Arabidopsis thaliana: one gene and its partners. The protein of the gene in region 4 interacts with the protein of the main gene of each other region in a pairwise test. Each region holds a gene or a part of one and is shown on either strand. Other genes may lie near its edges.

Evidence for each region.
Region 1: the proteins of GRF2 (region 4) and NIA2 interact in a two-hybrid assay, tested with the Arabidopsis thaliana proteins (one study listed by BioGRID).
Region 2: the proteins of GRF2 (region 4) and ACS5 interact in a protein complementation assay, tested with the Arabidopsis thaliana proteins (one study listed by BioGRID).
Region 3: the proteins of GRF2 (region 4) and ACS7 interact in a protein complementation assay, tested with the Arabidopsis thaliana proteins (2 studies listed by BioGRID).

Annotation. Positions count from the first base shown.
Region 1 is NC_003070.9:14,155,563-14,162,944, forward strand, and holds NIA2 (nitrate reductase 2), read left to right. Parts: upstream 1-2,889; 5' UTR 2,890-3,054; coding exon 3,055-4,099; intron 4,100-4,285; coding exon 4,286-4,426; intron 4,427-4,522; coding exon 4,523-6,090; 3' UTR 6,091-6,376; downstream 6,377-7,382. UniProt on the Arabidopsis thaliana protein: Nitrate reductase is a key enzyme involved in the first step of nitrate assimilation in plants, fungi and bacteria.
Region 2 is NC_003076.8:26,329,197-26,335,315, forward strand, and holds ACS5 (ACC synthase 5), read right to left. Parts: upstream 3,617-6,119; 5' UTR 3,503-3,616; coding exon 3,224-3,502; intron 3,120-3,223; coding exon 2,959-3,119; intron 2,873-2,958; coding exon 1,900-2,872; 3' UTR 1,550-1,899; downstream 1-1,549. UniProt on the Arabidopsis thaliana protein: 1-aminocyclopropane-1-carboxylate synthase (ACS) enzymes catalyze the conversion of S-adenosyl-L-methionine (SAM) into 1-aminocyclopropane-1-carboxylate (ACC), a direct precursor of ethylene.
Region 3 is NC_003075.7:13,272,347-13,278,313, forward strand, and holds ACS7 (1-amino-cyclopropane-1-carboxylate synthase 7), read left to right. Parts: upstream 1-2,853; 5' UTR 2,854-2,960; coding exon 2,961-3,149; intron 3,150-3,249; coding exon 3,250-3,545; intron 3,546-3,741; coding exon 3,742-4,600; 3' UTR 4,601-4,842; downstream 4,843-5,967. UniProt on the Arabidopsis thaliana protein: 1-aminocyclopropane-1-carboxylate synthase (ACS) enzymes catalyze the conversion of S-adenosyl-L-methionine (SAM) into 1-aminocyclopropane-1-carboxylate (ACC), a direct precursor of ethylene.
Region 4 is NC_003070.9:29,458,524-29,464,419, reverse strand, and holds GRF2 (general regulatory factor 2), read right to left. Parts: upstream 3,030-5,896; 5' UTR 2,538-3,029; coding exon 2,061-2,537; intron 1,884-2,060; coding exon 1,761-1,883; intron 1,649-1,760; coding exon 1,532-1,648; intron 1,431-1,531; coding exon 1,368-1,430; 3' UTR 1,031-1,367; downstream 1-1,030. Other genes in the region: AT1G78310 (VQ motif-containing protein), read left to right, coding at 1-417; SNRK2-8 (Protein kinase superfamily protein), read left to right, coding at 5,511-5,630, 5,717-5,791, 5,863-5,896. UniProt on the Arabidopsis thaliana protein: Is associated with a DNA binding complex that binds to the G box, a well-characterized cis-acting DNA regulatory element found in plant genes.

The DNA of each region.
Region 1 (7,382 bases), about 15 Mb from region 4:
CCAAAAAATAGAGATCAAGCTAGTCACTACAACTGTTTTGGGTAACCAACCAAATCAATAAGAGGAGGCCACAAAACACTTGAACACAAAAAAGGAAGTGGGAGAGAAAAGAGAGGGACGAGGCACCAAAAACAAAACCGTTGTTGCTCAGATCCGTTGAGAGAAGAAGAACAGTCTCTAGTGCTCCAAACAAAATAAGACACCTGACTAGAGACAAGACGAAGATCCACATCATGAGGCATAAGCGAGAACATCGACTATATTTTTACCATCTACTTTAAGGGTTGTTGATTTCAGTTTTTTAGAACCAAGCTTTTTTACAACCCAATCTACCTCGTCAAAATCAGCACGTTTCACAATCGTAAAAAACAAAGATAATAAAACAAGAGAAGGGACCGGCGCTATAAGAACCGTTACACGCCGGTCAGATCTAGTCAAGGCAATAGGTTGGAAAAAAACGGCGATTAAATTTTTTTTTAAAAAGGTTTAAAAATAAAATAAAAATCTATAATCCATAAATTATTTTGAACTACTTTGATATATATAATACAATCTGGCCAACATCTATTCATTAATATGCGAGAGTTTTTTGTGATTATTAGATATGCGAGAGTTATAAAGTAGAAATAGGTGTTTAAAGAGTGCTGAATTGCCATTTGTGGCAATAAACAATTTTCGCTTTTATGTTACGCAAATATTGTCAAAGTTTGATTATAATTAATGTTGAGATTGGAGGATTAATGACGTTATGACAACAAGTCAACAACTACGAGCTAAATAATCAAGTTAGGCGATCAATTGAGGTAAAATATCTCACAAGTTTGACGACTCATTTTTTAATGACTTTATTAAAAAGGAGAATAATAGTTTGGAAAATGACAAACCACCAAAAATGATAAAACAATGTAAAGAATAAACAAACGACCGCTTTTAGAAACGTCGTAAATATAATTTCTTCATATCACTCGTCCCTAATTCCCTATATTAACTATACTATATATATTGTATTGATTATCTTATTTGTAAAGTTAGGTATATAAAAATCATATATATTGAAACTGCTATATGCAAGTAGTCTTATTTAAGAAATTGTGCTATGAAATAGAAATTGTTGTATGGATAGTAATAGTCTTCGCAACAAATTTAGTTTTCATTGTTTGACACTTTAACATGAAAGGTTAGCATAAAAAAAAATAAAGTGGAAACTTGAAATCAACTAAATTTTCATGTTCCTTTTTAAAGTATAAAACTTAAACATAATATAAATAGTACCATATGATTTAAACTTAAACTGTCTTTTTTACTTTTTTTTCTTTCACAGATTTAATCTTCATCTCACATCTCAAAAGATAAATTTTTATTCTGCAGTAAAAAATTCATTAGCAAACTCTCTTTAATTAAATATCAAAATATGTTTTTTAATGTAAAAATATTAATTAATATCTTAAACTTTGTCTTTTTAGTGAAATATCTTATATATTATAACAGAAGAAGTATATATATATATATATATATAAAAAAAATAAAGATGTATATTGGTTACCCAAAATTAGAAGTTCACAAGAAAATCAATATTCAATATTTACTCAATGAAATTTTCAACAAAAAAAAGTCTTAAATAAAGAAAGATTTACCCACTGAATCTGCTGAACCCGTGGCTCCGTCGGTTTTGATTAGTCACCGCCATTCTTTCCGAAGAAAAACAATAATAACAGTAATACTAATATATAGGTGGCTGTAATGTTGCATCTTGATCAAAAAGAGAAATAATTTTGTAGTTATTTTAAGGAAAAAGATGAACGTGATCATTTTCCATCATTCAGTTTTTTTTTTTTTTTCATTTTCCAACATTCATACATAGGTATTTTAAACTTTTAGATGATTCAAGGAACTATTTTAGGTTATAATAATGTATACAAAAAATTAGATTACTCAATAATTAATATCTCATCAATATTGCTGAAAATCACATCTGTTAATTTTATCAAAAAAAAATATTACTAAAAAACAGTTTAATAAGAAAATATTACTGAAAATAACGTTTAATAAGAAAATAAATATTGTATGATTATTAGATTTTTTCTGATAATATGTTTAATTGATTTATCAAATCTCAAGAATAAAAGGAACGTTGTTCCTATGTTTAACTGAAGGATATAAGAACATTGATAAACTTCTAAACTAGAACCAGGGGTAAAAGGATTATCAAATCTCAATAATAAAAGGAACGTTCTTCCTATGTTAACACATTGATAATTCTTTAATTTACTGGTAAAAAATATACGGTTTACAAAATATATATATATATATATATATATATATATATATATATATATATATATACGGTTTTAATAGTTACCGATCACAAAAACTATTAAAATTAATAGTATGAAAATATTATCACCACGATTTTTGTATTACTAATTTTATTGCTCTTAATTATTTTGTCATCTTTTATCGTTATTTTTCCATTAAAAATAAATACGGCTTTGTGTCACGAATAAGAAAACATATTTTTTAGTAAAACAAATTCGACTAAAATAAAAAGGAAAATGTTTTGATCACATTTTTATATTGTATTACAGGAAATAACCAATGATAGATAATAATATATTATTCAATTGTCATCATTTCTTAGTTGACAAAAAAAAATCTATACATGTTTCCGAGACGTTAAAAGTATTTACAAAACTACTCCAACAATTCACATTTGTTTTATAACAAATAGGGACAAAAATGATCATTTTAAGCTTATTGAATAACTATGATCGTTTATTTTTGTCAAACAAATGGATGGTTTATTTAATTAAGTCAAGTCATAAGAAAAAATTAATAGTAAGTGTGTAAGAAAAAAATTAAAAAGTCACAAATGGTCCCATACGTGTGATTCGGCACGATACTTCCTAAAAGCATACCACTAGGCTCTCTCCTATATAACTTCATCTCCACCAACGATGCATTTTCGTCCTCAGATCTCATCTCACTCACAAGAGAGAGATAGAGAGAGAAAAAGGCTCTGCTTTCTACATTATTTACGATTATACACTTTCCAACATGGCGGCCTCTGTAGATAATCGCCAATACGCTCGTCTCGAGCCAGGTTTGAACGGCGTGGTTCGTTCTTACAAACCTCCCGTTCCAGGCCGGTCCGATTCCCCTAAGGCGCACCAGAACCAAACCACCAACCAAACCGTGTTCTTGAAACCAGCCAAGGTTCATGACGATGACGAAGACGTGTCGAGCGAAGACGAGAACGAGACACACAACAGCAACGCCGTGTACTACAAGGAGATGATAAGAAAATCCAACGCCGAGCTTGAACCGTCCGTTTTGGACCCGAGGGACGAATACACGGCTGATAGCTGGATCGAGCGTAACCCTTCCATGGTACGTCTCACAGGGAAACATCCCTTCAACTCCGAGGCGCCTCTTAACCGTTTAATGCACCACGGGTTTATCACCCCTGTCCCGTTGCACTACGTTCGTAACCACGGCCACGTCCCTAAAGCCCAATGGGCCGAATGGACGGTCGAGGTGACCGGATTCGTCAAACGGCCCATGAAATTCACCATGGACCAGCTCGTCTCCGAGTTTGCTTACCGCGAGTTCGCCGCGACGCTAGTCTGCGCGGGGAACCGCCGTAAGGAACAGAACATGGTGAAGAAGTCAAAGGGATTCAACTGGGGATCCGCCGGAGTTTCCACCTCCGTGTGGCGTGGTGTCCCTCTCTGCGACGTACTGCGTCGCTGCGGGATCTTTAGCCGAAAAGGCGGCGCTCTCAACGTCTGCTTCGAAGGGTCGGAGGATCTTCCGGGCGGTGCCGGAACTGCTGGTTCCAAATACGGAACGAGCATCAAGAAGGAATATGCCATGGATCCATCAAGAGACATCATTTTGGCTTATATGCAAAACGGAGAGTATCTAACACCAGACCACGGTTTTCCGGTTCGGATCATCATCCCCGGTTTCATTGGTGGCCGGATGGTTAAATGGTTGAAACGAATCATTGTCACAACTAAAGAATCCGACAATTTCTACCATTTCAAGGACAACAGAGTTTTACCTTCTTTGGTAGACGCCGAACTCGCCGACGAAGAAGGTACATAAAATCTTTTTGCTTCAATAAATCTCATTAAGATGAACTAATTGATATGTTTAAAAAGTCTCCGAACCTATAGGAGAAAAACAAAAACAGAAATCATATTAAAAAATGAAAAACTAATGTTGGTGGATGATGTCAGCTTCTGTGACTTACATAAATTCAAATTCAATGGTTTTGTTTTAGGTTGGTGGTATAAGCCAGAGTACATAATCAACGAGCTAAACATAAACTCCGTGATTACGACGCCATGTCACGAGGAGATTCTTCCCATCAACGCTTTCACAACCCAAAGACCTTATACTTTAAAGGGTTACGCATATTCCGGTACTTGTCCTTTTAACATTTTAATTTAATAAATACGTTATTTCATAGGATGATTTAATTTAATAGTAACAATAATCTTTATACAAAAAAAAACAGGAGGTGGAAAAAAAGTGACCCGTGTGGAGGTCACGGTAGATGGTGGAGAGACATGGAACGTATGTGCACTTGACCATCAAGAGAAGCCAAACAAGTATGGGAAGTTCTGGTGTTGGTGTTTTTGGTCACTTGAGGTTGAGGTTTTGGACTTGCTTAGTGCCAAAGAGATTGCTGTTCGTGCATGGGACGAGACTCTCAACACGCAGCCCGAGAAAATGATATGGAATCTCATGGGGATGATGAATAACTGCTGGTTTAGAGTGAAGACTAACGTGTGCAAGCCACACAAGGGAGAGATTGGGATTGTGTTCGAGCATCCAACGCTTCCTGGTAATGAATCTGGTGGATGGATGGCGAAGGAACGTCACCTCGAAAAATCGGCTGACGCGCCTCCTAGTCTAAAGAAGTCTGTCTCGACGCCGTTTATGAACACAACTGCGAAGATGTACTCGATGTCCGAGGTCAAGAAGCATAATTCGGCTGACTCTTGCTGGATCATTGTCCATGGACATATCTATGATTGTACACGATTCCTTATGGATCACCCGGGTGGTTCGGATTCAATCTTGATCAATGCTGGTACGGATTGTACGGAGGAGTTTGAAGCCATTCACTCGGATAAAGCCAAGAAGATGCTTGAGGATTACCGTATCGGTGAGCTCATCACCACTGGTTATTCCTCTGACTCTTCCTCGCCTAACAACTCGGTTCACGGTTCATCCGCCGTGTTCTCGCTGTTGGCTCCCATTGGAGAGGCGACTCCGGTTAGGAACCTCGCTTTGGTTAATCCCCGGGCTAAAGTCCCGGTTCAACTCGTCGAAAAGACTTCCATTTCTCATGATGTTCGTAAATTCCGGTTTGCTTTACCGGTTGAGGATATGGTTCTAGGCTTACCGGTTGGTAAGCACATTTTCCTTTGCGCCACCATCAATGACAAGCTCTGCCTCAGAGCTTACACACCAAGCAGCACCGTTGATGTGGTTGGCTACTTCGAGCTCGTGGTCAAGATTTACTTTGGCGGTGTCCACCCAAGATTCCCTAACGGCGGGCTCATGTCTCAGTACCTAGACTCTTTGCCTATAGGGTCAACTTTGGAGATTAAAGGACCATTGGGTCACGTTGAGTATCTCGGCAAGGGTAGTTTCACGGTTCACGGTAAACCAAAGTTTGCTGATAAATTGGCAATGTTGGCAGGTGGAACCGGAATAACTCCGGTTTACCAAATTATCCAAGCCATTCTCAAGGATCCAGAGGATGAGACTGAAATGTACGTCATTTATGCTAACCGGACCGAGGAAGATATTCTCCTAAGGGAGGAACTGGATGGTTGGGCAGAGCAATACCCGGACCGGTTAAAGGTTTGGTACGTAGTGGAATCAGCTAAGGAAGGTTGGGCATACAGTACCGGGTTTATTTCCGAGGCGATTATGCGAGAACATATCCCTGATGGATTAGATGGCTCAGCCCTTGCCATGGCTTGCGGACCACCACCGATGATTCAGTTTGCGGTTCAGCCGAATTTGGAGAAGATGCAATATAACATCAAGGAGGATTTCTTGATATTCTAGTCTAAAGCCAAGATATTTCAAAGTCAAAACGTTAAGTCGTCAAAAAGCCTAGTGTTATGATAGATTCTAAATAAGTATTGAGGGATTTGTTTGTATATAATGTTGGTTCTTTAAAGTCTTGGATTTGGAAATATAATGTGTTCGTTGTATTCACGATCGATATTTTTTTTCACAATAATATACAAAAAGTAATTTCAGAAATTTTTGTGGTTAGGTTATCGTACATTGAATTTTCTGCGTTTACTTCACATTATGAATATCAATTTGAATATGTTCATTTTTTCATATGTCTTTGTCGTTAAAAAATAAAATAAAAATTCTACAGCTATTAGACACCAATAATCATTTTCAAAGAGAATAAAGCCAAAGCGAAGTAGTTTCCTGTTGTGCAAGTTGAAACCAAACTCGTCCATTAGTTCCTATATTAATCTTCACCACATATATGATTTAAGATTAGGGGGAGTGAATTTACTTTTTTCATTTGTTTTATTAACTTGTAATTTAGAAGACTCTTCCTTTTTGGGTGATTAGTTTAACAATATATCAATCGTTTGAGAATCTTTAGAGTTTTCAGTTAATATTCAATTTGTTCTTATTAAAATTGTACATGTTTATAAAGTATGTTTCTAGCATCCAAACTCTTCTCCATTACAGGATTAGAATTTTAATACAGCATCACAAGTTATGTTCTAAGTTATCCAAAAGGAACATCATATCTATATAAAAATAGTGTGCTATTAAACCGATAGAAAATGTTACGATATATATATATATATATATCTAAATAAAATCATATATCAACGATTCATAACTTCAAGAACTTAAATAATGTCGACAGAAAAATGCAAAGATATATTTTCTAACATATAAAAATCGAACGGATGTAAAACGAATTGATGTTATTTCATTTAAAAATGTGTCACTCTAGAAATATGTAGAGATTAGTATACAATAATATGTTTTAGATTTATTGAATAGTGGAAGCTTGGAATACTATATGATCAACAACAACAACAAAAAATCTTCGGATGATTGATAATGCACCCATGATTTTATGATAGTATATGACTCAAAATATTCAACATAAATTCTATAAATTAAAAATCAAACAATAGTCGATATCTCCAATTCTGGAGGATCTAATGTAGAAGTAGTCTAATTTTAGTGTCCTTCAACTTAGTGATGCACATGAACTGGAGTTGAATTTATTATTATTCATTGTTTAGAAATTCTAAATTTGTTTTCTAAATTAAATATAGAAAAGCTCATTCAAAATAAATAATAAATTTAAC
Region 2 (6,119 bases), on a different chromosome or scaffold from region 4:
TTCCATAATCTATATCTACTTTACAATACGTTGATAAAGATAAACTTCCATAATCTATATCTACTTTTAGAACTGGGTAAAACAATATTTTAAACATTTTTACAAGAAAACGTATTCTTACATTACCAACTATATGATTAGTATGTGGCACCAGTTGACGTAACAATTTATGGAATGATAATATCAAATATCATTCCAATGTCGCTTATTATAGTAGCAAGTAGACTACGACCATGACAATGACGAAAATTTTCTGGTACAACGACTTCATAATGTCAGTTTGTATAGTTATGGTCGGTCATATGCAATAAAGACTTTTAAGTAGAATATTACTTAATCAGTATTACTCATTCACGGATTCTCAAATCCAACCAAATTCTCAATCTCTTATTTTTCAAAGTACGTACTGCTACTACATATCTCTGTTAAGTTTTTATAATCGAATTGTTAATTAATTGAGACAGATTTTTGGGGACTCAACCACCACATTAATGCTGTTCACATGTAAGGATCATTTGCCGTTACGGCCGGTATAGCCGCGTATCATGCTAAAATTAAAACAAAATCGGTTACTAAAGTTGTATTATATATTTCGTAGTCTACTCTTCGTAGTACCAACAAAGCTCATGGCACTTTTTTAGTTTTTTTTTTATGTGATAGGCTTAGCATAATAACATTTGACCGGTATCTTATATCTTATACTATAATGATTAGCCTATGATGATATGACACTTTATCCTCTACTTTATCCCTCGGGAAATAATTTCACAAGAAAAAAAAAATGGTTATAAAGACTTTTCTCTTTAAATGATTGGAGCCTTTTCATCCTCAAATTTTTGAAAATTATTGATTTCGATGATTGGAATTGTAATGTATAAATCTATAATCATTGTAATCATTGGGACATATCCTCCTTAACATATATATCAATCAACCATGGCTCTCGATATACAGATTTCGGTTTCTCATAAGTTGCTCATTTTTTTCTTATAATTACGTTAATCCTGATAGAGTAAGTTTTGATTATACAAAAAAAAAATGTGGATTTCGTTGTAAACTTGTAATTTTAGTTCAAATATGTGACGTGAACATTCTTACGCAATGCAACGTACCTATTCAAAGCTCAAAACTTTACTGCCGTAGAACGCTAGAAGCTACCTTTACCCCGAAATTGTTAATGGGTTTTAGTCGATTTTTAACTAAATTATTTAGGCTTCATCGAATATTTTCGACAAGTAGATCATACCTTCTCTCTTGATTCACCTAAGTGGAAAACCTTTGACTTTCCCCTTTTGCTTTCTCAGTTGACCAATTCGACAATTCCCGCCATATTACCATATAATGATTAATTAATTAGTTAATTGACATTAAATTAAGCCTCCTTTTGATATGCCTCAACTAACGTCCTTAACCAACAACGTTAACACGATCTTTATAGCCTTATAGTCAGAGGAGAATTCTCACAACAAACTCAAAAACTATACCAAATGATAGAGCATAAAATTAAAGAAACCCATATTTATAAAACAAAATATATATAAACTAAAAAGAGTGAATTACATTTTTATATATGGGTACAATACACACAAACGTTTCACTAAAATTACAACGGGATATATATTTATTTATATATATAGCCACTGCAAATCCACATTCGGATTGAGTGCATTAAAAACATATAATAACACATAGTAACAATTTTACACCCGAAAAATTGCATAAATTAAAGACTCACCCAAACATTAAAAAAAATATTACATATATAATGATATGATTATAGATATCTTGGAAAATTAAAAATACTTTCCCAAAATATAAAAAATGAAGGAAATAAAGAAGAAGAAAAAACCGTGAAGTTTTCTTTTGTTCGTCGTCTCAAACTTAGGGAGATGAATAATTTCATCGTTCATCAGGTACACGATCGGTCCATGAAACCCGGAAAACCCAGTTAGAGACTGTCTTCTTCCTCAAACTCTTGAGCCTTTCATGGCTGCTTCTTGATATCATTCGTCCACAGTCTGTGGATTCTACGAAAGTTTTGAGCCTCTTCAAGGCCAAATCGAGTGTGTCCTCGCTCATATTAGCGAAACAAACCCTAAACCAACCCGGTTCGGTGCAGTGACATGAAGAACCGGGTGATATGTTTAGTTTCACGTTGTAAACAATCTTTTTCCAGAGGTCAAGCTCTGCTTCAAATGTGTTTGTGTCCAAAAGGTGTCTCATGTCGACCCAACAGAACAAACCCGCGTTGCTTCTCAGGCAAGTAATCCCTGCAGACTCAAGACCAGACACGAGGCGTCTCTGTCTGGACTTGAGTCGTTTCTGGTTCTCTTCGAGGTATTGGCTAGTGAACTTCTTGTCGGAGAGCAATGCAGAGAGAAGGTATTGTGTCTGAGAAGAAACAAGACCAAAACTTGACATTTTTGTAGCTGCTGAAACGATCATTTCGTCGTTGGAGTAGATCGCTCCCACACGGAAACCAGGAAGTCCCAGATCTTTAGAAAGGCTATAAACGACGTGGACTCGTTTTGAAACCTCCGTGTCTTCGAGTTTCTTGTCTTTCAAGACATCCATTACGCTTATGAACTGTTCAAACCCGAACATAGTGCCTGAATAGATCTCGTCGCTAATGAGATGAATGTTCTTGGAAGTGATGAAGTCAACGAGAAGGTTAAGTTCACGTCTGGTCAACGCAGTGCCAAGTGGGTTAGATGGATTCGTGACAAGAACTCCTTTGACTTTGAGATCAAGTTTCTGGGCTTGTTGGTAAGCTTGTTGCAGAGCTGATTCCGTGATTTGGAAGCCATTAGAGCTTGAGCAGTGAATGGGTACTATCTCTGCTCCGGTTCTCCATTTAAGATCTCTATCAAATCTGTAATCATAAAAAAGCCTAGACGTAAGCATATATTTCTATTGGGTTTACTTGGAATCCAAGTAAAGAGGAGAAGTGTAATTTACCCAGGATAGTAAGGAGTAGGCAAAAGGAAAGCATCGCCAGGCTCTGCAAGGCAAAACATGAGAGTCTCATTCGCAGATGTCGAACCAGCCGCTAAAACAATCTTTTTTGGATCGAACGTGACACGGTTTCCTCTTATCTCTTCCATAAACTCAGCCATAGCCTGTAAAAAATGACAGAAAATGTTCATGAGAAATGGATTCATTACTTGTGATACACGTCAGGTTACTCTCTTTATTGAATTTGAGAAAAATGAAAGAAGCTTACTTTTTTGAATTCAGGCATGCCATGATAGTCTTGAAATAGAGCAAGCTCTCTGAAAATGGATTGACCGTTCCTCTTGAGACTTGCCGCGTCTGGGTTCTTAGTTAACCATGACTCGATTAGATCGAAACATAGCTGGTTTTCGGCTAGACCCATCTGGATCATCCCATTAGGGTTCTTGATCTCATCATAAGGATTCTTCTCGTACTCTTCCCATCCCAAGAAGTAGGATGAGTCTTGTCCATGACCATTGCTTGTCACTTTTGTCGAAAGCTGTTTCATTCTCTGTTTTTAAAGTCAAGAGATTTTGGTCGTAGAGAAGACTAATGTGGGTGAAGGAGAGAACGAAAAGAAGAGATCTTGAATTAGGGTTTAAGTTGGTGAAGAGTGAGATGTGGTTGGAGAAGCAATGGGTCTGTTGGGATATATATATATATAGATAATAATAATCTAACGACATTTAATTTCAAAAATAAAATGTGACAACAGAATCAGAAACTAGAGAGACTTTTTTGACCGTCCAGACATTACCATAGTTTTTAGTAAATATTCTCCAAGACATGTGAGACAACTTCTTTTATTATTTAATGCGATCTCCAATAATTAACAAGCTATATTATTTAATACAAAATAAACAATTAAAACATTGCAGTAGTTCTTGTTTCTTTTTGAAAATAAGAATGATCTATTATTGAGTTTCTATTTATTATTGCATTCACACATACAGCAATAAATCTTAGGATTATGTTTAAATAAAAATAAAAAAACCAGCTCTACATAGGGACAAAATTAAATAACACATTTTGAGCTTCTTTCCAAAATTTATTTGATCGTTTTCTAGGATTCAAGCATATTTAATAATAATTCTACAAATTAATAGTACTAAAATGATTAGTCTTTACGCGTTTCCGTCACCGCCGGACCGTCCTTATTATGACCATCATTTAGGGACCAAACATAGCAATTTAAAAAGAAACCTCAAATGTAATTAACTTTTTGTTGTTGTTGTATAAACTGAATCACTATGCTTATGATTAGTTTAGTCGTCCATTCACGATGTCAGCTACAAAATTGGCTGTGTGAAGTTGGATAGAAAAAAGAACCAACATTAATTTATATTCTACTTCTTGTCCAATACTAATGCCAAATAATTACTATTTATAGACTGCTAAAATTTTATATGTCGTATAATGTGAGTATTTTGCTGAAAAAAACTGTGAGCATTTTATGTAACTTTAGTTATCAGATTCTGTAATTAAGTGTCAACACGTTGACTTAGAAAATATTAACAAAATAAAATAGGGTGGTAAACGTAAAATTGGAAAACAAGGAAATGACATACAAGAAAAATGAACAGAGACAAGTGGAGCTAGGGGAGTCAAATGTAATGTCATACCGACATCAAATCGTCTAAAGTAATCCTGTATACCTATGCATCTACGTATGTATACATTTATACGGCTAAAATACATTTATTTATACGGTAGAGGGTAAGTCAAATAGGACCATTTATGCTCCCTAAACTCTAGTAGTCCCAAATGTCTTGGTCCGCAATTTTTTTTCGTTTTCTCTTCCTCTATCATTGACAACAACTTATTTATTTGGTGGGATCGGATACATACAAATATGTTTTTTACTGACTAGGATGTTTTCAGTCTTGTAATTATCGACAGGTTAACCGGAGTTGTAATTAGTTTTTTTTTTTTTTTGGTTAAAGGGTTTTGGAGTTAGTTTCATGTGAATTATGCGGTATTCACTGACGTAGACTGATCTCCAATACCAATAGAATAAATGATGATAGTTTAGCATAATTGTGTTGGTCCGCAGTTTATGTAAAAATAAATGTTGAGTCAGATATTGTTGCAGATATATTGATATAGTTACTTTGATCATGGGTGAAATAATGAGTTTGGATGGTTATCATAATAAAAACATAAACACAAATTTTTTGTAGAATACAATTTTCCTACTAGTTGAATTGAGCTTTAGTTGTATATATCTTCATCCTGTTTTTTTTTTTAAAATGTATACAAATCAAAGAAATAAACATATTGTTTATTATATAAACTCGAAACTTTATTTAAAATAAGCTACTAGTAGAATGCACAAATATTTCTTGAAACATGAGATTTTCAAAATAAAAATCATAAAAATGATGTGCAATGAGTGATTCAGTTTTGGACCTAGAATGATTAGTATAAGAGCATAATATTTAATCAATCAAATTGAGTTATATTAACATAAAAATCAGGTGGACGATATCAAAACCCATGTTGGTGGCCGTTGGTTATAACTTATACCCCCAGATTTGTAGGCGACGTTGTTCGTTTAAGTTTGACTCCAACTATTAACTAACTTAACTGGAATATTCTTTGGTAGATGTAACATATTATTGTCTCTTAACTAACCAAAAAAAAACATTAATGTTTGTTATAGGATTTTTTCTGACGTCAGGAAATCGTTATCATTTCAAAATCGTATATCCACTTTTTTGAAGTACTTTTTTAATAATTAATGAGACGCTGTGATTTTCTCAGATTATTTTTGAAGATTTTAATTAAAAAGCTCAAATTGATTTGATTGCTGCGAAAAAAATGGGTCCTCGTATAACAACTCTTAATAATGATACATTGGAGAATCACATGTGAAATAATATTTGATGATGAAGCCATATATTTCGGTATTGATCATCTTATTCTTGATTCTGTTTTATGAAACAACCAAAAGATATCATATCAACTCATAAATGCAATCATATAATTGGATAATTAATATCATATAGCTTTTTTTAGATTCTATACTTTGAAAAATCAAGATAGAATATATTTGTTATATTTTTTCATTTTTTTCCAACAGATTCTAATTATAGCTCAAAGTTGTTATATTATATTCTCTATTT
Region 3 (5,967 bases), on a different chromosome or scaffold from region 4:
GCAAATTACAATTGTCTATTAGTATTACGTAAATACGAATATACATCCATATGTAAGAACACGTGTGTATAACTGTGTATATCTCCAATATACGTGCATCTACATCTATAAGTTTACATTGTTTTCGTTATCTTCTACCTAAATTTATTAATTTTCATTTGGGTCCTATTGTTATGTCGATTAATACCCTTTAATTTAGGCTGATGTTCTAAGTCCAAACATACAAACAGCCAATCTTAACACAAAATCTTAATCTCAGCATGCGGGCAAAATTGCGACCATACAACTATTATGCTATGATGGTTCTAGTAATAAAAGCAGGCATTTAGTTTGGAAAAAAAGTAAAATCTCCTTAGAGTACTTTAATTAGTAACCAGTGCTATAAACGAATTGTAACCAACACGCAATGGAATCAATAACACTCTATTAACTTAATATAGATATGAGAAACTCGTGCTTTTAATCTTTGTTAAAACGTCGACAAAAAAAAAGTTTTTTTCTGTTAATTAGTTCTCCTCTTTTTAAAGTTTTAAATTTTTGATTTCATAACTCACTATTAATTGCGATATGTGGGGTCACCTAAGATCCTCCAAGAACTTATATTCTTGATGAACATATATTGTTCACAAATTGGAATCATAATCTTATCGTATGATTGTATGTATATGTGTCACGTAGTTGGACTTTTAACCACTATTAGATCTTTCCAAATATCCTCTCTCTTTTTTTGCTTCAAATTTGTTTTTTTTGTGCACACACATCTTATATTATTAATATATAAAATTGGATGAGCTTTATAAGAGTTTTAATTACATATAGGAAAAATAGAACTAATTAATAAGATTTAGATATATGTATAAACGTATTTATATATTGACATGTAAGTTTTAAAATAATATATCGTCATGGGAAATATTTTTAAAAATCTTAAAATACAGTATGGACTTATATATTCATACTAAAACCTAGTGGGGTTTTTTTTTGTGTGTACATGAAAAGTGGTAAAAGTATTTTCTCTTTTTTAATTTTGTTAGATTAAAAATATGTTAAGGTAGCTTGTTTTGTTTATCGTCATGTGTTAAAGTGTACTATATGGTAAAGATTTATACAGTAGCATGTGTAAGCGGGTTCATGAGTAGGAGAGAATTAAATTCTGCCTTAATTAAACAAAGGTTTCGATTAGCCGTACGTACCGCCATTAATAGGGAGCATAATTATCACCCATTAGGGAGCATACTTTGACCACTAGGGGAAAATTAGAAACCTATGGTAATCGTATTAATTAATACGGCCAAAATTAATTCTAATTAACATATAAAACTGTTTCCCACAACTAATTTTTATAGATATATCACCTTTTAGATAAAATATAGAAATTCTTTCTTCATATATATGTTACTAACAAATAAAAATCATACCGATGCAATGACCTACAATCTGACCGGTTAGCTCAACAACTCAGTATTTGAGAAATGTAATTTTGTTCGATTACCATAGGTTTTTATTTGTATAAATCTAAATATAATCATATTACTTCTTTTTTTATCGAAATATAATCATATTAACTCACGCGAAGAAACTATAATAATCCATCTGACTTCTGGTTCGTAAATATTGTCATACTTAATTAGAGACGAATTGTTCTCATGGTAATCAGCAAAAGATCGAATTTCCTAATTTCTAATACTAGTCCAGAAATATGGTATAGATTTTTATCATAATTTTTTTTGTCTAGATATAATAAAGTGTAAATGGATAGCCACCCACCCACTCCTCTCGTATAATGTAAATTTCTCATTTTTTTAATGATGCCAAATCCATATAATCGGAATTTCAACCACCGTATTTGGGCTATAGATCATAACTAAAGTTATGGAAATAAATGAATAAATTAAAAAATGTTAAGTAGAAAAAATAAGTATCAACAAGAGAGAAGGAAGAAGAAGACATAAGCTAACAGTTGTCCGAAATTGATTTTGGCAAAAGGTGATCTTTGATTTTGCTTAAAACATCGAATCAGAACATTTAATTTAGTTGTTTCCTCATTTCTTTCATCTATGGAGTTTAGTATACCCAATAAATTTGATTAGTTACTTATTCCAGCTCCTATTATTATATTTAACACACATAATGTAAAACAGACGCGTATAATTTATATAGAAACTGTATGTAGTTAAAAACGACATACTAGTACTGATGACTCTTTGTTTACGTAAATTTGTATTCTCAAAGAAAAAAAGTAACTACCTTTTGTTATGGTCTCTAAGAAAAAACAAAAGTACTTTACAGTTTTCTTAGTGACCATTCTGTAAGAATATCAAATAGTGAAAAATAGGTAAACGAGAATCTTTTTTTCTGTGTAACAATATTGTATTAGTGAAGGATTATTAATTACGAGACTATTATCTAAAACGCATTAGTGACCCTTTTGGATTTAAATCGTAGCAGCCGACTAAACCAAAATATTTAGAAAGTTTTCCAAAAACAAACAACATTAAAACACATTTAAACTCGTACACAATAATAGAAACTAAACTATTTTTAGCAGACTAAAGTCTAAACAACATTACGTTTAAAAATTGATAATCAGTGTTTTATAGAACTGGCGATCTCCTAAAGATGAACCACCGAGAAGTTTCAAGATAAAAACAAAAATAAAAATAGCCAAACACTCTTATCTATTCATCCATTTGCAGGTCAATGACACCGTATTTTTCCACAATCGAATCTTCCTTATTCTTTACACAAACTTCTTCTCTGTATGTAAGTAAACTAATATTAAAATTGAACTTGTCAAAGACTTTCCTCTTGGTCACGTCTGCTATATATACTCCTTCATTCACACAAATGTTTAACTCCAACACACTTCTCTTTCTCTCAACCTCTCTCCCTCTCTCTCTCCGATTGTGTTTTTAGAGCTGTCACGTGTCACGTGTCAGGTTCGAAGCTCTAAGAAAAAAATGGGTCTTCCTCTAATGATGGAGAGATCATCAAACAACAACAACGTCGAGCTTTCTCGAGTGGCGGTTTCAGACACTCACGGCGAAGACTCACCGTACTTCGCCGGCTGGAAAGCTTACGACGAAAATCCTTACGACGAATCTCATAACCCTTCCGGTGTCATCCAAATGGGTCTCGCTGAGAATCAGGTAATAAAATCTTTCATATAGTCAACTTTTTTTTATTAATTGTTATATATTGCGATAATGTATTAATTGTCTCTTTCGATCATTTTTTTCCTACAAACAGGTCTCGTTTGATCTTCTTGAAACTTACTTGGAGAAGAAGAATCCAGAAGGTTCGATGTGGGGATCAAAAGGAGCTCCTGGGTTCCGTGAAAACGCATTGTTTCAAGACTACCACGGTCTCAAAACTTTCAGACAAGCCATGGCTAGTTTCATGGAACAGATTCGAGGAGGCAAAGCTAGATTTGATCCTGACCGGATCGTCCTCACCGCCGGAGCCACCGCCGCTAACGAACTCTTAACTTTCATTCTCGCCGATCCTAACGACGCCCTTCTAGTTCCCACACCGTATTATCCAGGGTACGTCACACTTTATAATAAGATATATAATGAATTAAATTAAGAAATATGGTCATTCGTATATATGAAGATAAACTACAAAGAAATAGCTGCAACTAACTAACACCATTTAAAAGAAAGTTATAATCTAGCAAATCTTTTATTTTCGATATTTAATGCATTGTATTTACCGAACCGTTTATTTATTTCATTACAGATTCGATAGAGATTTGAGATGGAGAACCGGAGTGAAAATAGTACCCATCCACTGCGACAGCTCGAACCATTTCCAGATAACCCCGGAGGCGCTAGAGTCGGCGTACCAAACGGCTCGTGACGCGAACATTAGAGTCCGAGGAGTGCTCATAACCAACCCATCGAACCCATTAGGGGCGACGGTCCAAAAGAAGGTTCTAGAAGATCTCCTTGACTTCTGCGTACGCAAGAATATTCACTTGGTCTCAGACGAGATCTACTCCGGCTCCGTCTTCCATGCCTCCGAGTTCACAAGCGTTGCCGAGATCGTAGAAAACATAGATGACGTGTCAGTAAAGGAACGAGTTCACATCGTCTACAGTCTCTCCAAGGATCTTGGTCTTCCTGGTTTCCGCGTGGGAACTATATACTCGTACAACGATAATGTTGTTCGGACAGCGAGAAGGATGTCGAGCTTCACGCTTGTCTCGTCTCAGACACAACATATGCTGGCTTCTATGTTGTCGGATGAGGAGTTTACGGAGAAGTACATTAGGATAAACCGGGAAAGACTTAGAAGACGGTACGATACCATTGTGGAAGGGCTTAAGAAGGCAGGGATTGAGTGTTTGAAAGGGAACGCAGGGCTATTTTGTTGGATGAATTTGGGTTTCTTGCTCGAAAAGAAAACTAAAGACGGCGAGCTCCAGCTTTGGGATGTGATCTTAAAGGAGCTGAACCTGAATATATCTCCGGGATCTTCGTGCCACTGCTCGGAGGTCGGATGGTTTAGGGTTTGTTTTGCTAATATGAGTGAGAACACTTTGGAGATTGCGTTGAAGAGAATACATGAGTTCATGGACCGACGAAGGAGGTTTTGAAATGTTAAAAAAAAAAGTAAAGTAAATCCGTTTTTTTGGTGGTTAAATATATGGGGGAGGGGTAATTAATTTTTTAGGAAAGAGAAGATAATTAATTTAAACCCATTGATGTAAAATGGGTTTTGATTTGTTTCTCTTTTCTAGATATTATTGTTTGTTTTCTTGCTTGGACAAAGCAAGTTAATTTCATGTTCATCAAGGTTGATTTGTAATATTTATTGTTATAAACGAATTTTTTAAAATATAAAGCATTACAGAAACATCTCTATCGGAAAATTATCCCTATTACTTAAGTACGGCAAAAACAAATATATTTATATTGTTAAGATAATGATACACCTCGCAAATATATTATAGACAGTAGATACAGATTTACTTATTGTTCTTGAAGGTTATACATCTGTATGTAATATTTGTTGACTTTTTTGTCAAGTTAATATTTGTTGTCGTATACAGAAAATGGGTCTAAATAATTTTATTTCAATATGGTTATGTCATTGTTGTTGTAATTTTCTGTAAAGAGGTTAGTGTTGTTATGTGGTCGGGTCTTTTTTTGACTTGGTCACTGTACAACTCTAACAAGAAATGTGTTCTTTTTCTTCTCTTAATACTAGTTATCCGAATACACACACGGTTTCGATGAGATCGAACTAGTTTTGTGTGGCTACCAATTAGTGAGGTATTTATGACGATTTATGACAAAAAAATATTGAAACAACTATTATATTGTATTTAGGGTTACATGTATAATTTTAGGATTTTGATAACCAAATAATTAATTGCAGTAACAAATATTCTTAAATAAAACATTTTGATGTTTGTTCTAGATTAACATAATAGAAACCTTTAACTAATCATATAACTCGAAATATAATATCTAAATTACAAACAAATCAGCTTATAAAAGAAGTGCACATTCAAGTTTTCCGTACGTTACAATGAGAAATATATTTGTTGTGATATCATTCGGGCGATTTTTAAAATTTGGTCTACCAGATATTCATTTTCAATAACGAAATTTGAATGATTAAATTTTAAACAAATGGTTGATTCCTAGCTAAAGTCTCTAAGTTATTTCGTTTTCTTGGCCAAGTCGAGGTCGTATACCACTTGGTTGAATAAAAACAAATCAATTTAAGTGCAAAGACAATGGACCATTGTCAACGGTCTCTACTAAAATAATATAAATAATGCAAATTATAGTTACATGTATTCAACACACATATTTTTTTCTAAAAAGTGTATAAATATACAGTATTGTATTTGGAATGAGTTCATCTATACAATAATGACAGGGAATGCCGGAATGGTATCTATGGTATAGAAGTTGCATGCAACAGAACTATAGACATTTCTTACATCATGCA
Region 4 (5,896 bases):
TCTCCTCTCCCGCCGTTACCACCGGTTCACGCGGCGGCGGAATCACCGGTCTCTTCGTACATGCGGTATCTCCAGAACTCGATGTTCGCAATCGATTCGAATCGGAAAGAGTTCTCTGGATTATCTCCGTTAGCTCCTTTGGTCTCACCTCGTTGGTACCAACAACAGGAAAACGCTCCACCATCGCAGCATAACAGTTTTCCACCACCACATCCTCCTCCTCCTTCCTCTGCTGTTTCGCAGACGGTGCCGACATCGATTCCGGCGCCTCCACTGTTTGGATGTTCAAGTTCGCCTAAATCTCCGTACGGATTACTCTCACCGAGCATACTTTTATCGCCATCGTCAGGTCAATTAGGGTTCCCTGTATCTCCGACGACGGTGCCGCTTCCTAGCCCTAAATACAAAGGTCATTGATCAGAAAATCGGAAACCCTTGTCGGTCAAAGTGAGAAAACGTCGTCGTTTTGACCGTCGCGACAAAATTCCCTTTGTTCTTTTTGTACATCATTAGTGGAGAGTGGTGGGATCATTTGTTTTTTTTTTTGTTAATTAACTCAAAGATTACTTAAATCCGTTTTTTTTTTTACTTTCTTTTGTTTTCATGGTTTGTTCATGTTAGAAACAAAGAAGACTAGGAAAAAGAAAGGAATACACTTTTGCAACTCTATTCAATTTTTATAAGTTTGCCATTATGATTTCATCTCTTTGTAAATCAGATTGCATACAAGAGTTTTTTCTTCATCGTCTATTCGATGGGGTATTAAATTTTTGATTGGTTGATTAGCTATACCAAACACTTCACTGTTCCTTTGGTTGAATTTTATGCTCTGATGCTTTCATTTTAAGTTGAAACTTCAAACTCTGACGAGATCATTAATTTAAACCTGTAAAGTGTCAAATGACTAACGAGTGTCTATTGCTTAAATAGTTCTTTTGAAATGTATTTTTATTTTTATATAATCAAATTGATGATTGATTTCAGACCAGGTAAAGTAATTGGCTTTACGCAGTCCAATAAACTAGTCCGCTTTTAAAATTAAAAATTGATAAACAATCAATCTACGCAACAAGATAAGAGACAAGAGACTTTATGATCTTCAAATTGATGAGAAAAGAAAGCAAGTTTCGATTACACAGACATTGAAATCGATAACAACAAAGAAATAAGAAAAGAGAAAATAAATTAAAAAGAGATAAAAAGATGATTGATGGTTCAGACTTGCCACAAATATGATGAATGAATAAGCTTTTGAAGATGAGCGAAATGGCAAGAGCGACCTCTTAGATGGATTAAGAAAAACATATGGACGAGAAAGAGAAGAAATTCCAAACCCTAGAAGAAAACTAGCAGTTTCACTCAAAAGATCACTGCTGTTCCTCGGTCGGTTTTGGCGCTGCTGCTTCCTTGATCTCATCCGCAGCATCATCCTAATATAATCCCCACCGTTACAGAATTTAGTCAATGGAATGCGAATCATCCATAACAGAAACAAAGAAAGAACAAAGGTGCGGGGATTATATGAACAAACCTGCATATCAGATGTCCAGAGAGTGAGATTGTCACGAAGAAGCTGCATGATCAAGGTACTGTCTTTGTATGACTCTTCACCAAGAGTGTCCAACTCTGCAATCGCCTCATCAAAGGCCTTGACGATACATAACAACAACAAAACCAGTCAAATTTATGTCCAATGAGGTCAAGTGTTAAACCAAGTCCAATCACATTATCATAATTGAAAGATGAGTAGATTGAAATACCTGTTTGGCGAGGTTACAGGCACGATCAGGAGAATTGAGGATCTCGTAATAGAACACAGAGAAGTTCAATGCAAGACCAAGACGAATTGGGTGTGTTGGAGCAAGCTCTGCATTAGCAATATCCTGCACAGATAATTACACATAGAGACTATAAGCTCAAAACCTAGACAATCTCAAGATCTTATTCGAGAATACACAAATCCCTAATTTAAGTCTCATTATACTGGAAATCTAACAAACCACCATCCACGGATCACACACTAGACTCAAATAAACTAGATCTGAGATTCGGAATCAAACCTGAGCAGATTTGTAAGCGGCGAGTGTATGTTCGGCGGCGTCTTTCCTCTCTTGACCAGTCTTAAACTCAGCCAAGTACCTGTGATAATCTCCCTTCATCTTAAGGTAAAAGACCTTGGAATCACCAGAAGCAGCGGCAGGGATGAGTCTAGAGTCAAGCAACTTAAGGATTCCGTCGCAGATTCCGGAGAGTTCCGTCTCGATCTTAGACCTATATTCACGGATCGCCGTGACGTGGTCATCGTTACCACGGCTCTCTTCCTTCTGCTCGATCGATGAAATGATACGCCACGAGGCACGGCGAGCACCAATCACATTCTTATAAGCGACGGAGAGAAGATTTCGCTCTTCTACGGTGAGTTCATCGCCATCAACGGCGGCGGAGACTTTCTCCATAAACTCTACCATCTCTTCGTACCTCTCCGCTTGCTCCGCGAGCTTAGCCATGTATACGAACTCTTCACGCCCAGACGCCATTGTTGTTTCTAGAGAGAATCGATCTAAGGAAGAAGAATCAAAGAGGGAAAGATCTGAGATCTGATCAAAAAGAGAGAAACGGTTTCGATTAGAGAATCGGGTGTTGTAGGTCAAGCGAGAGAGGACGATGAATGAGTTTTTGTGTTTAATGAGGGAAAGTGATAAATGCGTTTTAGAGGAAAAGAGTGAAATTTGGAACCAAGATCTAATCTGGGCCGTTGGATTTGTGGCCGGTCCTGCTTTTTAAAGGGGGATTTTTTTTCACCTCAAATTAAGAACAACATAAATACACTTTTAGAAAAATTGGTAATGTGATTATTGGATAAAATTTGGTCAATTAACAAAATAATTGGTAATGTGATTTTGCTACTATTAGTATAGGCACCTTAAGGAATTATAAAATTTTGGGTCTAGTGGTTAAAATAGGGGCTAGTTTTTTGTAGATTTGTTAATATAGTTATTTACTAATTGTGAAAAGAAATTGGAGTTGTGAGATTGATACAATAATGGAAGCAAGTTGGGTTAACAAAAATGGAGACAGCTCAGAGGGACACATGTGTGTTGTGAGCATGTCAGGGGATCCAATGGACCCTTTCTTCTCCAACTCAGCTTTCACATTTTTGTGATTGCTCAAACGGTTTTTTTTTTCTTCTTTCAAAATTTAAATACTTCGGAGGTTGTCTATTCTTCAAATCTTCAAACATTCAACTAAGTACGTAGGCGATTCTTACGAGCTTTTTAAAATCATTATGTTCTTAATTATGTGGTTGTATTTGTACTGAAGTAATTTATTAAAATACTACAATATTTGTTTTTCCTTTTTCCGTTTTGCTTAATCCAATGCTTATCCAGTTATCCTAATCCATGATTATGTTTTTTCCTATCTTACTCCTTTTTGTTAATTTGTTTTATTTGCATTAGTTTTCTTGATGATTATGTTTTACATTCAATGAAATAATAAGATTACTCTATACTTTTCTAGCATAAATATTAACTATACAATAACATGTATTCATTGAACGTATAGTCATGATATATCTAAAGATCATACGTTAGAAAAAACCGTCATATAAAAAAGGCGAAAATTCGGATATGTTCGAAAAAGATTTGTGGTTAATCTAGCTATATAGCGTACGCAAGTAGATCAAAAGTTTTTGATAAGTATTGAGATAACTCCTAATTATAATTAGTCATTTAGATAATGATGATCCTTATCTAATTAGCTTTCTTATCTCTATGACTATTTATATACGATTCTCTACTTGTATAGAGACCAATCTTCATGAAAGTGTTAATACACCAGATGATTTGCTCCGACGTGTTGGGTGTGGGGGAGATAGGGACGAGAGCATGAATCGATGCGAAACGTAAGGTTTGAACCATATCGAAGTGTTCATTCCCTAATTGCCATCCCCCTTAAATTTTGGGACATTCAAGAAATATTAACAGAGATAACATTATCTGAGTTCATAACATGGATTTACGAGTGGTCGGGTTTGATCATACCTAGCAGAGATATGGACGATTGACAATTGTGTGTTTTTGACGGATGAGACGTGACATTAATAACTTATACGATGACACTTATATTAATGCATGTTGGTGCATGCTCAAGTCAACATAAAATAAGAGGTTTGGAAGCCCAACAATTGAGCATATGTGGGATATCTCCGAGGCTCCCCTGCCAATAATTTTAATTATCTTCCCTTCTTTTTCATTCTTAACTTAAAAAAACTTCCGTCTCGATGTGATCTATGACTATGATGAGTCTATCTTGTAAATCATATGATTCATATTGATAACTTACGGTATAAGTTATGATAATAACAACAAACGCATTATCTTATTTGTCGTCGACTGTCGACAACAAAAGATCTTACAATTTTATTATAAGTTTCTGACAATTAACTTTAGGATAATATTTTATTTATTTTTGTTGAAGTCTTTAGGATTATACATAAAATACTTCTCAAATACCAACGATCAAGTTACTTTAAACTTCTTCCAACGAAACAATCATTAGTTCATTCTCTTATGGAAGCCAATCAAATCCCTCTAAAGAATAAAACCATGAACTTTGTTACTACTAAAATGTTTTCTGTACTTAGTTTCGTTTAGTCCTTAAGTTGATAAATTTTTTTTACCAATCTTTACTATTTGGAGTAATGCGATTAAATAAGGTCGAATTTCGATAGATGAACCGTTAACGATTTGACGAAGACACTTTTCCTCAGTGTTATCTTCGTTCGTTGACATTAGACAATAATCCAGTTTTATCCTATTATTTCAGAAGATAACGAAAATATTTCCTTTGTCACTAAGATTCCGAATTCTTTAAATTTACCATAAGTATTAAAAACAATTTATACGAGGTCGAAATCAACCACATATGTAGTAGAAGAAACCCCACAACACGACATTCGTTAAATGTCTCTCATACTTTTCCCTTTATATAATTGTTTTGCAATAAGTTTTTGATGTAATATGTTTAAAAATTCCCACCACATATCAAATACTGCAGCGATAGCTCCTCTCACAAACACACAAACAGAGTCAAAAGCAGTGACTCTGTTCCAAAAGCAAAGCAGCTTCCCAAGAAGATCAAATCCGAAAATGTGCGATCCACCTTAATCCCTTTTTATTATTATTATTATTGTTATTACATCACTTCCTATAATTCCGGTAAAAGTTTTATTTCCCATAAACTTCCAAAAATAGTTGGTTCCTTTTTATTGAAGTTATCTCTTCAAATAATTTTATTGGTTCTTCTGTCTTATGAACAAGAACAGAGGAGCTCTGTCTTGTTTCCTCTTATTTACGTACTACCAATCCTCATACACACACATGTGTCTTTGGTTTCATCTCCGAAAAGTGATAATCTGTTTTATTTGATTTGACTTTTGAGAGAACAGAGCATATATAAAGAAACAGAGCAGCTCTGTTTTTTTTTTTTGTGTTGCAGTTTGTAGAATCATGGAGAGGTACGAAATAGTGAAGGATATTGGGTCTGGTAACTTCGGAGTAGCAAAGCTTGTTCGTGACAAATTTTCCAAAGAGCTTTTCGCTGTTAAGTTCATCGAGCGAGGCCAAAAGGTCTCTAACTCTCTTGCACCTAATTCAAGAAATTTTTGTTTCTATCACTTTTGTCTGATTTTGTTTATTTGTTGATGTTTATGAAGATTGATGAACATGTACAAAGAGAAATCATGAACCATAGGTCGCTGATCCATCCCAATATAATAAGATTCAAGGAGGTATAATACAACAATGTCTTCTCTTTTGATGTTACTTTATCTATCAAATTGATAATTGTGTGAAAACATAGGTTTTATTGACGGCAACACATTTGGCGTTAGTAA